2 linked regions of the Yarrowia lipolytica genome follow. Each later gene encodes a partner of the first gene's protein in a complex. Links are inferred from orthologs where the notes say so. Each region holds a gene or a part of one and is shown in the gene's direction. Other genes may lie near its edges. The genes, in order: YALI1_C29926g and YALI1_D06665g.

Region 1 (6,555 bases):
AGTGGAAAACACTCTTGAACCATTTTCCTTGATCAAGGTGTCGAGAGGCAACTCGACAGTCGATAATCGACTGCTGTTGTCTTTCAAACATGTCCTGAGTTGAGTTGTGCGTCAGGGACTAGAACATCCAGTGGATACTGGGGAATGTTGGCGCAAGATGTTTATTACTACCCACAGTCTCCTCTAAAGTCACTTGTACAACACAGTACTGTAAGGCATCTCCACCATACCGGTTCAGATTCCTTACAATAATCGTACTTGTACTTGTACTTGTACTTGATAAGGCTATAAATTAGGGTCTTGGATGCACAATGGGAAACATACCAAGAATGATTGATTAGTTTGTGTGTGTGTGGGAAGCGGCCCTCTCTTCAGAATGAGGCAAGGACAGACTTCGGTGCTGTATAACGAAGTGCCCAGCTTCCAGAGAGGTGGTGCGAACGCAGCGGTTCTTCATGACAGATTGGCATGCGCATGACTTCAGGTGTTGTGTCACATTCAATGGCACGTTCCCAAGTCCCATCACACATGCTCTCGACCAAAATGGCTCCGTCACGCTCACCATTTAGGGAACAACCGAATGATAATCATACCTCCCGCCACAGCAACCACCATAAACACCACCGCCTTGATGTAGAAGAAGTAACCAATAGCTGCAGTCCGCTGGTACTCGTTCATCTTCTGTCCCACGGATCCCATCTTTGTAGACGACGATTCCAGAGCGGCCGCTGTATCCTTCACCATTGCGTCATCCTTGGCCAGCTTCTGGTTCATATCCACAGCATTCTGCTTCATTCTTCGCACCAATGAAAGCACGTCGTTAGCAATGTCATCCTGCTCGTTCTCGTCCACCCGCAGCTTAGTCTGCAGTGTGGCATCCTGGGAAATTTCATTGTCCATGCTACCGTGAGCACCACGTTTTCTCAAGCCATGTGACTGAGGGGTAAGGTCCTGGTCTCCCTCCAGAAGCGCTTCACGCTCCTGCCGTTCCCGCTCCAGCTCAATCTCCTCCGTTTCTCGCCGCTTGATGAGACTGGTCAGTTGCTGCTCTCGTCCGTCCACCTCGAGCTCGTATTGTCGGACAAACAGCAGATCGGTGCCAATTTTCCGCAGGTCCTGCTTCTCCACCGGTGTTGCCGAGCTATGGCTGAGCACTCGCGCTCGCTCGAGGTTCTTGTCGGCCTTTAACCGCTGCAGACCGAGCACAAACGCATCTCCATCGTCGTATAGTGTCGACAGCTCGTTGATCTGGTATCCGGAGTCGTCGTCCAGGGCTGTGTAAATCTCTTCCGTGTCAACAGCGGCCTTTCGGGCCAGTTCTGAGGCTGTTTGGCCGAGATTTGACAAGATGGTGTTCATATTGGGGTGCTGGGCAGGTGTAGAGAGATAGTCTGCTTACGTGGTGATCTAGAGTTGGGGTTTTAGGTGGTGGAGTTTATTTTATTTGATGAGAGTGAAATTGTGAAGCGATAGAAGACGACTTTGTACTAGGATATGTGGGCGTTTTATATGGATAATATTGAAGATGGTTTAGTAATCATAGTCATATTAATTGCTAGTGGAATTTTTCCATTCAAAACGCCCCGAAACAGAGTGTCAAAAGCGAAATCACTTCTTTAAGTAATTTGAACAGAAGTAATCAACCCCCGGCTTTCTTTTACTTGGAATTGTTCTCATTTACCATTGCGACCAGAAATAGCCCCAAAAACGAACGGGAGACTTGCAATCACTTTTATGTTCCAAGTTTAACATTACTGAGCTCGTAAATGCTCCCTGAAACTTCCCCCGCCCCCATTTTAACGCCTCCGCCCTTCACTCGATCACGTCCGTCGCGTCAAACAAAGTTCATGCAGGTAGATGCGAAATAATGAACAACATAAACAAGTGAAAAAACGTCCGATAGCAACATCTTGGAAAACGGCACAAAACAACTGGTTTTTCTCACACGAGCGCCACCATGTCGGGACTGCGCATCCAGATAAATTACATCGACTATGTAATGGCTCCTCCGGGGCCGCTGGACTGGTCCAAGGTGCCTGAAACGGTATCTTGCGAATGCGACTACAAAGATCTACACCGGGTTCCAGTGCTGCGGATATTTGGAGGCACCTCGGACGGTCTTTCGTCTTGCGCACATGTGCACAACGTCTTCCAATACTTTTACATACCCTACACCGGTCCTTCCTTAAGTCCGGCGGATTCGGAGCCGTTCATAGCAGACATGTATCGCCGAATCAACCTGCAACTCCGTTCCAAGAGGACACGTGGCGAGAAGTTACCCGAGGAGTGTAGTTTTCTGGCCAACATTGTGCTATGCAAAGCTACACCATTCTACGGATACCATGAGGGATGGAGATACTACCTGAAGATCGTGGTGGTGGACCCTAGTCATGTTGGAATGCTGGTGGACATGTTCAGGAACGGTGTGTTTGGATGGGACCACTCGCGTGTGTTTGAGAGCCACTTGTCTTACATTTTGCAATTCTTTTGCGACTACAATTTGCATGGTTGTGGATGGATGGAGGCGTCCAGGTACATGATGAGAAGGGAAGGTATGATCTCCAAGTCGGAGTTTGAGGTTGACTTGCAGGCCGAATACATCTTAAACCGACTGGTGATTTCGACCAACAAGAAGCCAGGGGACAAGGCGTTCCATTCACTGAAAGAGCTGTGGACGAGCTTACAGAGCATTAGAGACAAGTTCAGCAAAGGCGAGTACAAGAGTGACTATGGAGAAAGGACTGTAAATGACCCGCGGGAGCAGTGGTTTTCAGCCCAGTCCATGTTCTCGGAGTTGGAGGAGAAGGTGAGCAAGGCAGACTCGGCCCATTCATACGTGCAGTTCTGGCCCAAAAGGCCATACGACAATCTCGTTCCCACAGCGTTTGAAACGACAAAATGCATGTTCAAGGGAGAGGGTGCCTCAGAAGTGGACAGTTTTGTGTTTGATGTGTCCTTTGACGATCTTCCTTCCATGTCCCAGGAAAAGAGAAGCAGTGCAACAAGAAAACACAGTTCCACTCCTCCCCCATCAACCAGGAAACAAAAGGGACTCAACTTCAAGGTGACCAAACCCAAGTTTGATGTTCCAAATACTGCAAAGACGAGTACTGCTGTTGCTACTGCTACTTTAACTACAACAGTCTACACTTTCAAGCCACCTCCATCGCGTGGACTGTGTATTACCGATTTAGACGACAACAACATGGCACAGAAAGTCTACCCAAAGCCGCACTACTCACGTGATTCAGACGTCCCCACAAAAACAATGACACACGGAGGCGTCACTTTTCGAATTCTGGGGTCTTCCGTAAAGTATCTACCAACGGGATTCCCCGAAAAGCCCTCAAACTATGCTCTTAAGGGCGTTGTTGAGCTGGCAAAGTCTCCTCCATCGCGTGATGACGTACTCAAGTGGATAGGAAAGACTACCAACAATGCTGATCTGTTTCTGTCCCAGATAGCGCCTCCTACCCAGAAGCCCAAGTACTCTTTCCCCAGTCAAAACACACTCTCCCAGCGACACGAGTCGGCTGCTTTAACGGTCATGAGCATGGAGGTTCATGTGAACACTCGAAAAGGTCTCAATCCAGACCCAGATCTTGACCCAATCCTGTTCGTTGTCTGGCACATGTTGGGTGGTCCCAGTGGAGTGATTATCAACGCCGAGGATTGCCCAGACTTCACAAACATCATCGAAGCACCTTCCACTGTCGTCAAAACAGAGTGTGAAATGATCACTCATCTTCAGAAAATGGTGGAGAACTTTGATCCTGACATTCTGACTGGCTTTGAAGTCCAAGCTTCTTCCTGGGGCTATGTTCAAGACCGTTGCAAGACCATGTTGTACCCATGTGAATTTGGAAGGGTTCAGCATCATAAGATGAGCTCGAAAATTGACACTTGGGGCGCACGAAAGGCTTCTGGAGTCAAAGTAGTTGGCCGTCATGTGCTCAACTTGTGGCGTATGATTCGTGGGGAGGTTTCTTTGTTGAAATACACGCTTGAGAATGTCGTCTTCCACGTTCTACACGAACGCATTCCCTTCTACACACACGATACGCTCACAGAAATGTGTGTGGGCAGTCTGTCTGACCGGAAATTACTTGTGGAGTACAAATGCACGCGGTCCAATTACAATCTGCAGCTCTTGAGCACTCTGGAGATTGTTTCACGAACAGCTGAGCAGGCTCGAGTGGTGGGAATCGACTTTTCGTCCGTCTACACCCGCGGCAGTCAGTACAAAGTCGAGTCGTTTCTTGCTCGCCTGACAAAAAGTGAGAACTTCATGCTGGCAAGCCCCAGTAGAGAACAGGTTGGTCAGCAGAATGCCCTGGAGTGCATTGCTTTGGTAATGGAGCCCGAATCTCGACTTTATACGAGCCCCGTTCTTGTTCTGGACTTTCAGTCTCTTTATCCTTCCGTCATCTTAGCCCACAATTACTGCTACTCCACCTGTTTGGGCAAATGGACTGATTTTGAAAAGGACGGAAACACTTTGGGAACGGAGAAACTGTTCTACAAGCCGTCTTTGGTAAAACGGTTGCTGACTAAAGACGATGTGACCATCTCTCCAAATGGCCTGGTGTTTGTGAAACCCCATATTCGAGTTTCTCTGTTAGCTCGAATGCTGGGTGAGATTCTGGAGACCAGATTCATGGTCAAGGATACTGCCAAGCTCGATAGAGACAATGTGTCGTTCCAGAGACTCAACCATAACCGACAGCTTGCTCTGAAGCTCGTGGCCAACGTCACATATGGATACACTTCTGCCTCCTTCTCTGGACGTATGCCCTGTGCCGAAATCGCTGACGCAATAGTTCAAAGTGGACGTGAGACGCTCGAAAAGTGCATTGACGTGATCCATGGATCGGACAAATGGGCAGCCAAGGTCGTCTACGGCGATACAGACTCGTTGTTTGTATGTCTACCTGGTCGTACCAAGGATGAAGCATTCAAGATTGGTACTGAGATCGCTGATACCATAACATCTGCCAATCCAGCACCCATGAAATTGCAGTTTGAAAAGGTCTATCTTCCTTGCATGCTCATATCCAAGAAGCGATACGTGGGCTACAAGTGGGAGTACTCGAAGCAGATGTATCCCATTTTCGACGCCAAGGGAATCGAAACTGTGCGACGAGACGGCACCCCTGCTGCCCAGAAGATTGAGGAGAAGGCTCTTCGTATCTTGTTTGACACTGCTGATTTATCTCTGGTCAAATCGTACCTCTACGAGCAGTGGACGAAGATTCTAACTGGTAAGGTCTCGATTCAGGACTTTTGTTTTGCCAAGGAAGTCAAGTTAGGCCAGTACAAGGAAGGGGGAGTGTTGCCCGCGGGTGCGAAGATCTCGGCTGAGAAAATGGCAGTCGACATGCGCTTTGAACCCCAGTACAAGGAACGTATCCCATATGTGGTTGTTGCTGGTCCTCCCAAAAGTCGGCTGATTGACCGATGTGTTTCTCCTGAAGAACTAGTCAGGAACGCCAACTCTCTCATTCTCGACGCCGACTACTACATTCACAAGACTCTGATTCCCCCTCTGGATCGGTTCTTTAACTGTGTGGGTGCTTCTGTTCTCAAGTGGTACGAGGAGATGCCCAAGAAGCGGCGGTACGAGTTTTACCAGACTGTTTCTCGAGCAAAGACCAACCAAACCACGCTCAAGTCGTACGCTGTGTCCAACTCGTGCATCGTCTGCAAGACTGCCCAGACGTCTGGCTTGTCTAAACTTTGCGCCACGTGCGAGAGTGATCCTGGTCATGCAACATTCGTGCTTAACTCCGATCTGAGGTACAGGGAGAAGCGGCTGGATGAGCTCAACACAATCTGCGCGCAGTGCTCAGGCGACTTTGAGACTAGGTGCGAGTCTCAGGACTGTCCTATTTACTACTCACGGGTCAAGGCAGTGAGTAAGGCGGAAGATGCAAGTGAGAGGCTAGTGGAGTGGACTGAGGGGCTGGAGTGGTGATGCAACGATGGAGAACTTATTTATTTGTATTGTAATATATTTATTTATAACTGCGCTGGTTGCCGTGTGTGCCTTCTGTACCACAGTCGAACCCTGGGTGAAGCGCCAAAGTGTTTCTGTAGTTGTGCCAGTATCAGCGTCTGTCCTACCAGTAGCTCGCGTCTTGACTCTAGTCCGTGGATGTCACCAAGTACAAAGAATCTAGAAGCACGGCGCCAACCCTCATTGGTGACACGAGGGGCTTCTTCTGCGATAATGGCCCTTCCTCACGAGCTCGCTATTCATAATTGCTTAGCAATATCCTGGGCGAGGAAACAGACACCTTCTGTTTCTCCCATTCCGAGTGGTAGGGTCTGCGAGGATATCCCTTTTCTCAGCTTCCCTTTTCTCAGCTTCCGAACACTTTCTGAACCAGTTCTGGGACGAAACTGCGATGTTGAACGCGTCATTGGCGCCACAGGCGATGATGGACCCGTTGAATGGACTACTGTACTTGAAGTAGCAGGGCAAAGGATATCTGCATGCTGTTCACTGCATCAGACCAACGCCTACTTTCAATCAATGCTTCATTATCTATATAT
Region 2 (3,945 bases), on another chromosome or scaffold:
TCATCACAGGCGGAGTGTACGCTGCCGACAAACGTCTCATTCGGTACGAACACAAGTTGCGAATAGACCAGCGGAATCTCATTGCCGAGCGGGCCGCTGCTGCCGAGGCTCGAGGCGAGTACATTGACCACGATGGCCACGTCAGAGACTCTTCCGGAAAGGTGATTCGAAAGTGATCCCACTGCCCCGAGAAAAAAGTGTTGCAACACTAACACACTACAAGGTACGAGGGTACTACTGGACACCCCACCAGAAGTTGCTCTCAACCGGGGAATTGCTCTCAAATAAAAGACGAGTGCCACGTGTGCCCATCATTCGTCGAGACTGCCCTCATCCCAACCTGTACATATTACATACTTCTTTTTTTTGACATGGTATCGTATTCCCCAAACGTGGCTTGTATCTCGTAGATTGTCTTATCTGGACTTGGTGCCTGCACAGAGGTGGCTGAAAATTTGTGGCGGTGCATTTCTAGGTTCAAAGCAAAGCCGCGAGCTTATTATGGCGGAGGTTAGGTACAGTAAAAAGAAAATGGCAGTGCGTTAGAATTGACAAGGACGCGTGTTTTCCGACTAAATTCCTTTTTCATTGGAATCTCTGGTCTAAGACGGCTATTTTGATGTAGTTTGAATCGTCTTAGGAGATCTATTGCATCTTTAAGGAGCTACTGGAAGGCTTGAACTTTCGGCAACAAGTCTGGAAGAAGGAATATCCAGCTAGGAGAGTTGGCATTAGTAGATACAGGTAGTTCATTGGAGAGCTATATAGTACTTCTCCTTGTGCTTGTACAGGTATGATATTCTATATATACATCCGTTTATTCTTTAGGGGTCACGTAGAATGCCATGTGTTCCCTCCTCCTGAGTCTTACCGAATCTGGCATTTCACGAAATCAACAACAAGTATTTTGATAAGCTGTTTTTGCGACTCTCTGATCATCTCCAATAGTTCTGATCTTCAGCTACTGGCGGGCTTACTAATCACGTCTCTCGAGCTAGCTCACCAACCCAACCCCGTCCACACATGGCATCCTGGCCGAGCGGTTAAGGCGAGAGATTAGAAATCTCTTGGGGTTTCCCCGCGTAGGTTCGAATCCTGCGGATGTCGCCATCTTTTTGGTCCTCTTTTGTATGTATATTTCTCGTTTCACGTGATGTGGTTGATTACTGTGCGAACTGTTGGATGTATGATGAAGTGTTTTTTAGGGGTTACCGAGACTATTAGTCTCGTTTGTTTGTACTTCATCAATAATAATGGCGTCAAAGAAGTACCTATTTGAAGTGTTTGTACTTCCTTGTCTCCTTTTGCCCGTCCAGTGTGACTCCTATAACACAAGAACCTGCCGACTTCCTCTATGTTGATTCATGGCGCGTCCCATGGGGAAGAGAGGGGCCCAGATTCCCAACAATTGACAGCTTCTGATACTTTTTGACAGCATTACAGCTCATGGTTCCTCTTTCTTCTCATAAATATACCAACGTTCAACTTTGCCTGTGTTCGTGAGGTCTTCCTCAGCACTGCGAGACCGCTAGACCGTATCAGCGCAAGAGAATGTTGAAATAGCAGGCTACAGTAATGGTTCAGTTATATCCTATTCTTCTACATCTTTTGGGGCCGCTCCCCGAGAGTTCCTACGAGTTGGAGTATCGCCGGAAAGCTCTACTCTGAAAATAATTGCTTTAACAAAGATATCAACTAAACGCGTCTTTCATAGTTGATAGGAGTTCCCTCAACATCCCAGCCATAACGTGGTATCCAGTACTTCAATCGCTCTGAAACTATATCTACATACAAAGTACAACTCAAGAACTGCGTATAGACGTTCATCGTCCTCTAGCTATCGTCCTCTACCATGCTCCAGCATCTCCTTCTACTTACCCTCTTTTCGCGTACACGGGTTTTGGGTTCTTTTTAAAGTTCAATTTACACGCTTTTGATTTTGATCCATCGAGAAATACTGCTCCAGCTTTCTATACCAGAACTCGACACTTTCAGCATGCCGGAGATACGTTCAAATCTGCCCACTACTGCCACCTCGCTCAATGATGGCTTCACGTTGCCCATCACAAAACGCAACTACAACCGTCAGTATGCGCCAATCTACTACATGCGATTGCACCAGCTCATGAGCCAGGTGCTGGATGCTGCTACTTCCAAATGGGCTGATAAGAACGTCAAGTACCTCAACAAGTGTTTGGACGTTCTTGTTGGGGATACGGTGTTTGTGGTCGGCACACTGTTCAAGGACATGAAATACAAACCCAGCATGTTGGAGGAGGTGACCCGCAGCCATTGGGGAGCTCCTCCGGGCAAGAAGCCCAAGTACGTGGACCCTCAGGGCGATTGTGAGGACGGTGGACACAAGGACGATTCGTCGATTCAGCTGGAGGACAGCTCCGGTCGAATCACGCTCGTGGGACCAAAGGTGCAGGAGTTCATGCTCATCACAGGCGTTGTTTGTGGAGTACTAGGCACGGCAGGCGAAAACGGACGCTTCACGGTCGTGGATGTGGTCTGGGGCGGCTTTCCCGAACAGATTTATCGACCTCTGAGTGGAGTCAATGACGGAGAAGACGTTGAGATGGCTGACAATGATACTCCTGAAGACACATACATTTGTCTTGCTTCTGGTCTGTACATTGGCCAGAAGAAGACGGATTACAAACACGTGCTTCTGGCAGAATATCTCCAGGGGCTGCTTGAGGAAGATGGTGCAAAAGATGGACTGGTAAAGCCCAAAAACATTTCGCGGTTCATTATGGCCGGAAACAACTGCTCGTTGGAGTCAGAAAGACCCGTTATCGACACACTATCTCGAACCGTGGACCTCGACGCCTTCAAGCCCATGGCTCGCGTTGACGAGTACATTGCACAATTGCTGCCATCCATCTCTGTTGATATCATGGCAGGAAACGACGATCCCGGCAACATGTCGCTTCCTCAGCAGCCGCTGCATCTGTCCATGTTCCCTCAGAGCCGCAAGTTCAAAAAGGCCACCTTTGGGTCTGTTTCCAACCCCTACTGGTGGGACTTTTCAACCGACGAGGCGCCTCTCAAGGTGCTGGGAACCTCGGGACAAAACGTGTCGGACATCTACAAATATCTGATCGAAGGACGAGACGATATTCTGGATATCATGGAGCATACGCTTGCCTGGCGGCACTTGTGTCCCACTGCCCCAGATACCCTGACTTGCTATCCTTATGGAGATGACGATCCCTTCATCATCAAGGAAACTCCCCACCTGTACTTCTGCGGCAACCAGGACGAGTTCCAGACCAGTGTTGTCAAGCATGACGGAGTGTCAGTGCGTCTGGTGGCAGTTCCGCGGTTTGATGAGACGGGAGAGGTGGTACTGGTGAACATGCGAACATTGAAGGCAGAGGTGCTGAGGATTGTCGCCTAGCTGGAGAGCGGAGCTCAACGTAGCGAGGGTAGGCAGCAGCACTACGAAGTAGGGGGTTTCGATGAGCGCTTCTAACTCTCGCTCTCAACAGATACATGCCATGTTCTCAGCAATTGTCGCTGGGACTCTTGACAAACTACCTCTTGTAGTGGGGACTACAAGTAGTTAGGAACTAATATATTGCACTTGCATGGCTTTATGATCGTAGCACAAGTGAGAGGTGGTTGGACAGTGTAGCGTATGAAGCCATCTTCTACGAGCTCTAGGGCACATTTCCCCCGTTATCACACAAGTAATAGTTCCAGTTCTTCCGAAACATCGAGTATGACTCAACACAGCGACCATGATGATATATGTTCTACACTCTTTGACTATATACAGTAGGCTACTTTTCAGGGGCGGGAAGAGCCAGCAACCCGTTAGGGGCAGGGAGGGCCTTGGTAAAGTCTCGTACGACAATGGAGCAGTCGACTTCTCGACACAGGTCCTTCTGCTTGACGGTGATCTTGTTGAGGAACTCGACTCCGGTGGACCGCTCA

What was found.
Region 2: the proteins of YALI1_C29926g (region 1) and YALI1_D06665g are in contact, whole or in part, in a cryo-EM structure (PDB 7LXD), measured with the Saccharomyces cerevisiae proteins. The link is inferred for Yarrowia lipolytica from reciprocal best matches to the Saccharomyces cerevisiae genes REV3 and POL31. Residues at the interface, in NP_015158.1 of Saccharomyces cerevisiae: Glu722, Asp723, Thr725, Thr728, Lys729, His732, Cys733, Phe846, His850, Lys851, Arg852, Lys868, Ser870, Thr871, Lys875, Thr1423, Thr1425, Leu1426, Ser1427, Leu1429, Ile1430, Leu1433, Lys1434, Gln1436, Lys1437, Tyr1439, Gln1440, Lys1443, Val1445, Arg1447; in NP_012539.1 of Saccharomyces cerevisiae: Ser51, Gln52, Tyr53, Tyr54, Tyr57, Gln58, Val93, Leu94, Gln97, Tyr109, Cys110, Glu111, Met112, Lys113, Tyr114, Thr126, Tyr127, Gly128, Ala129, Pro130, Leu132, Thr133, Lys134, Tyr136, Thr137, Glu140, Gly141, Glu149, Glu151, Ser152.

The regions. Positions count from the first base shown.
Region 1 is NC_090772.1:2,990,669-2,997,223, forward strand, and holds YALI1_C29926g (uncharacterized protein), read left to right. Parts: upstream 1-1,957; coding exon 1,958-5,974; downstream 5,975-6,555. Other genes in the region: YALI1_C29905g (uncharacterized protein), read left to right, coding at 1-103; YALI1_C29910g (uncharacterized protein), read right to left, coding at 168-367, 410-530; YALI1_C29920g (uncharacterized protein), read right to left, coding at 559-1,359; YALI1_C29968g (uncharacterized protein), read left to right, coding at 6,155-6,555. UniProt on the Saccharomyces cerevisiae protein: Nonessential DNA polymerase. Required for DNA damage induced mutagenesis. Involved in DNA repair, mitochondrial DNA repair and translesion synthesis.
Region 2 is NC_090773.1:664,615-668,559, reverse strand, and holds YALI1_D06665g (uncharacterized protein), read left to right. Parts: upstream 1-1,996; coding exon 1,997-3,406; downstream 3,407-3,945. Other genes in the region: YALI1_D06682g (uncharacterized protein), read right to left, coding at 1-259, 303-315; YALI1_D06638g (uncharacterized protein), read right to left, coding at 3,792-3,945. UniProt on the Saccharomyces cerevisiae protein: DNA polymerase delta (DNA polymerase III) participates in chromosomal DNA replication.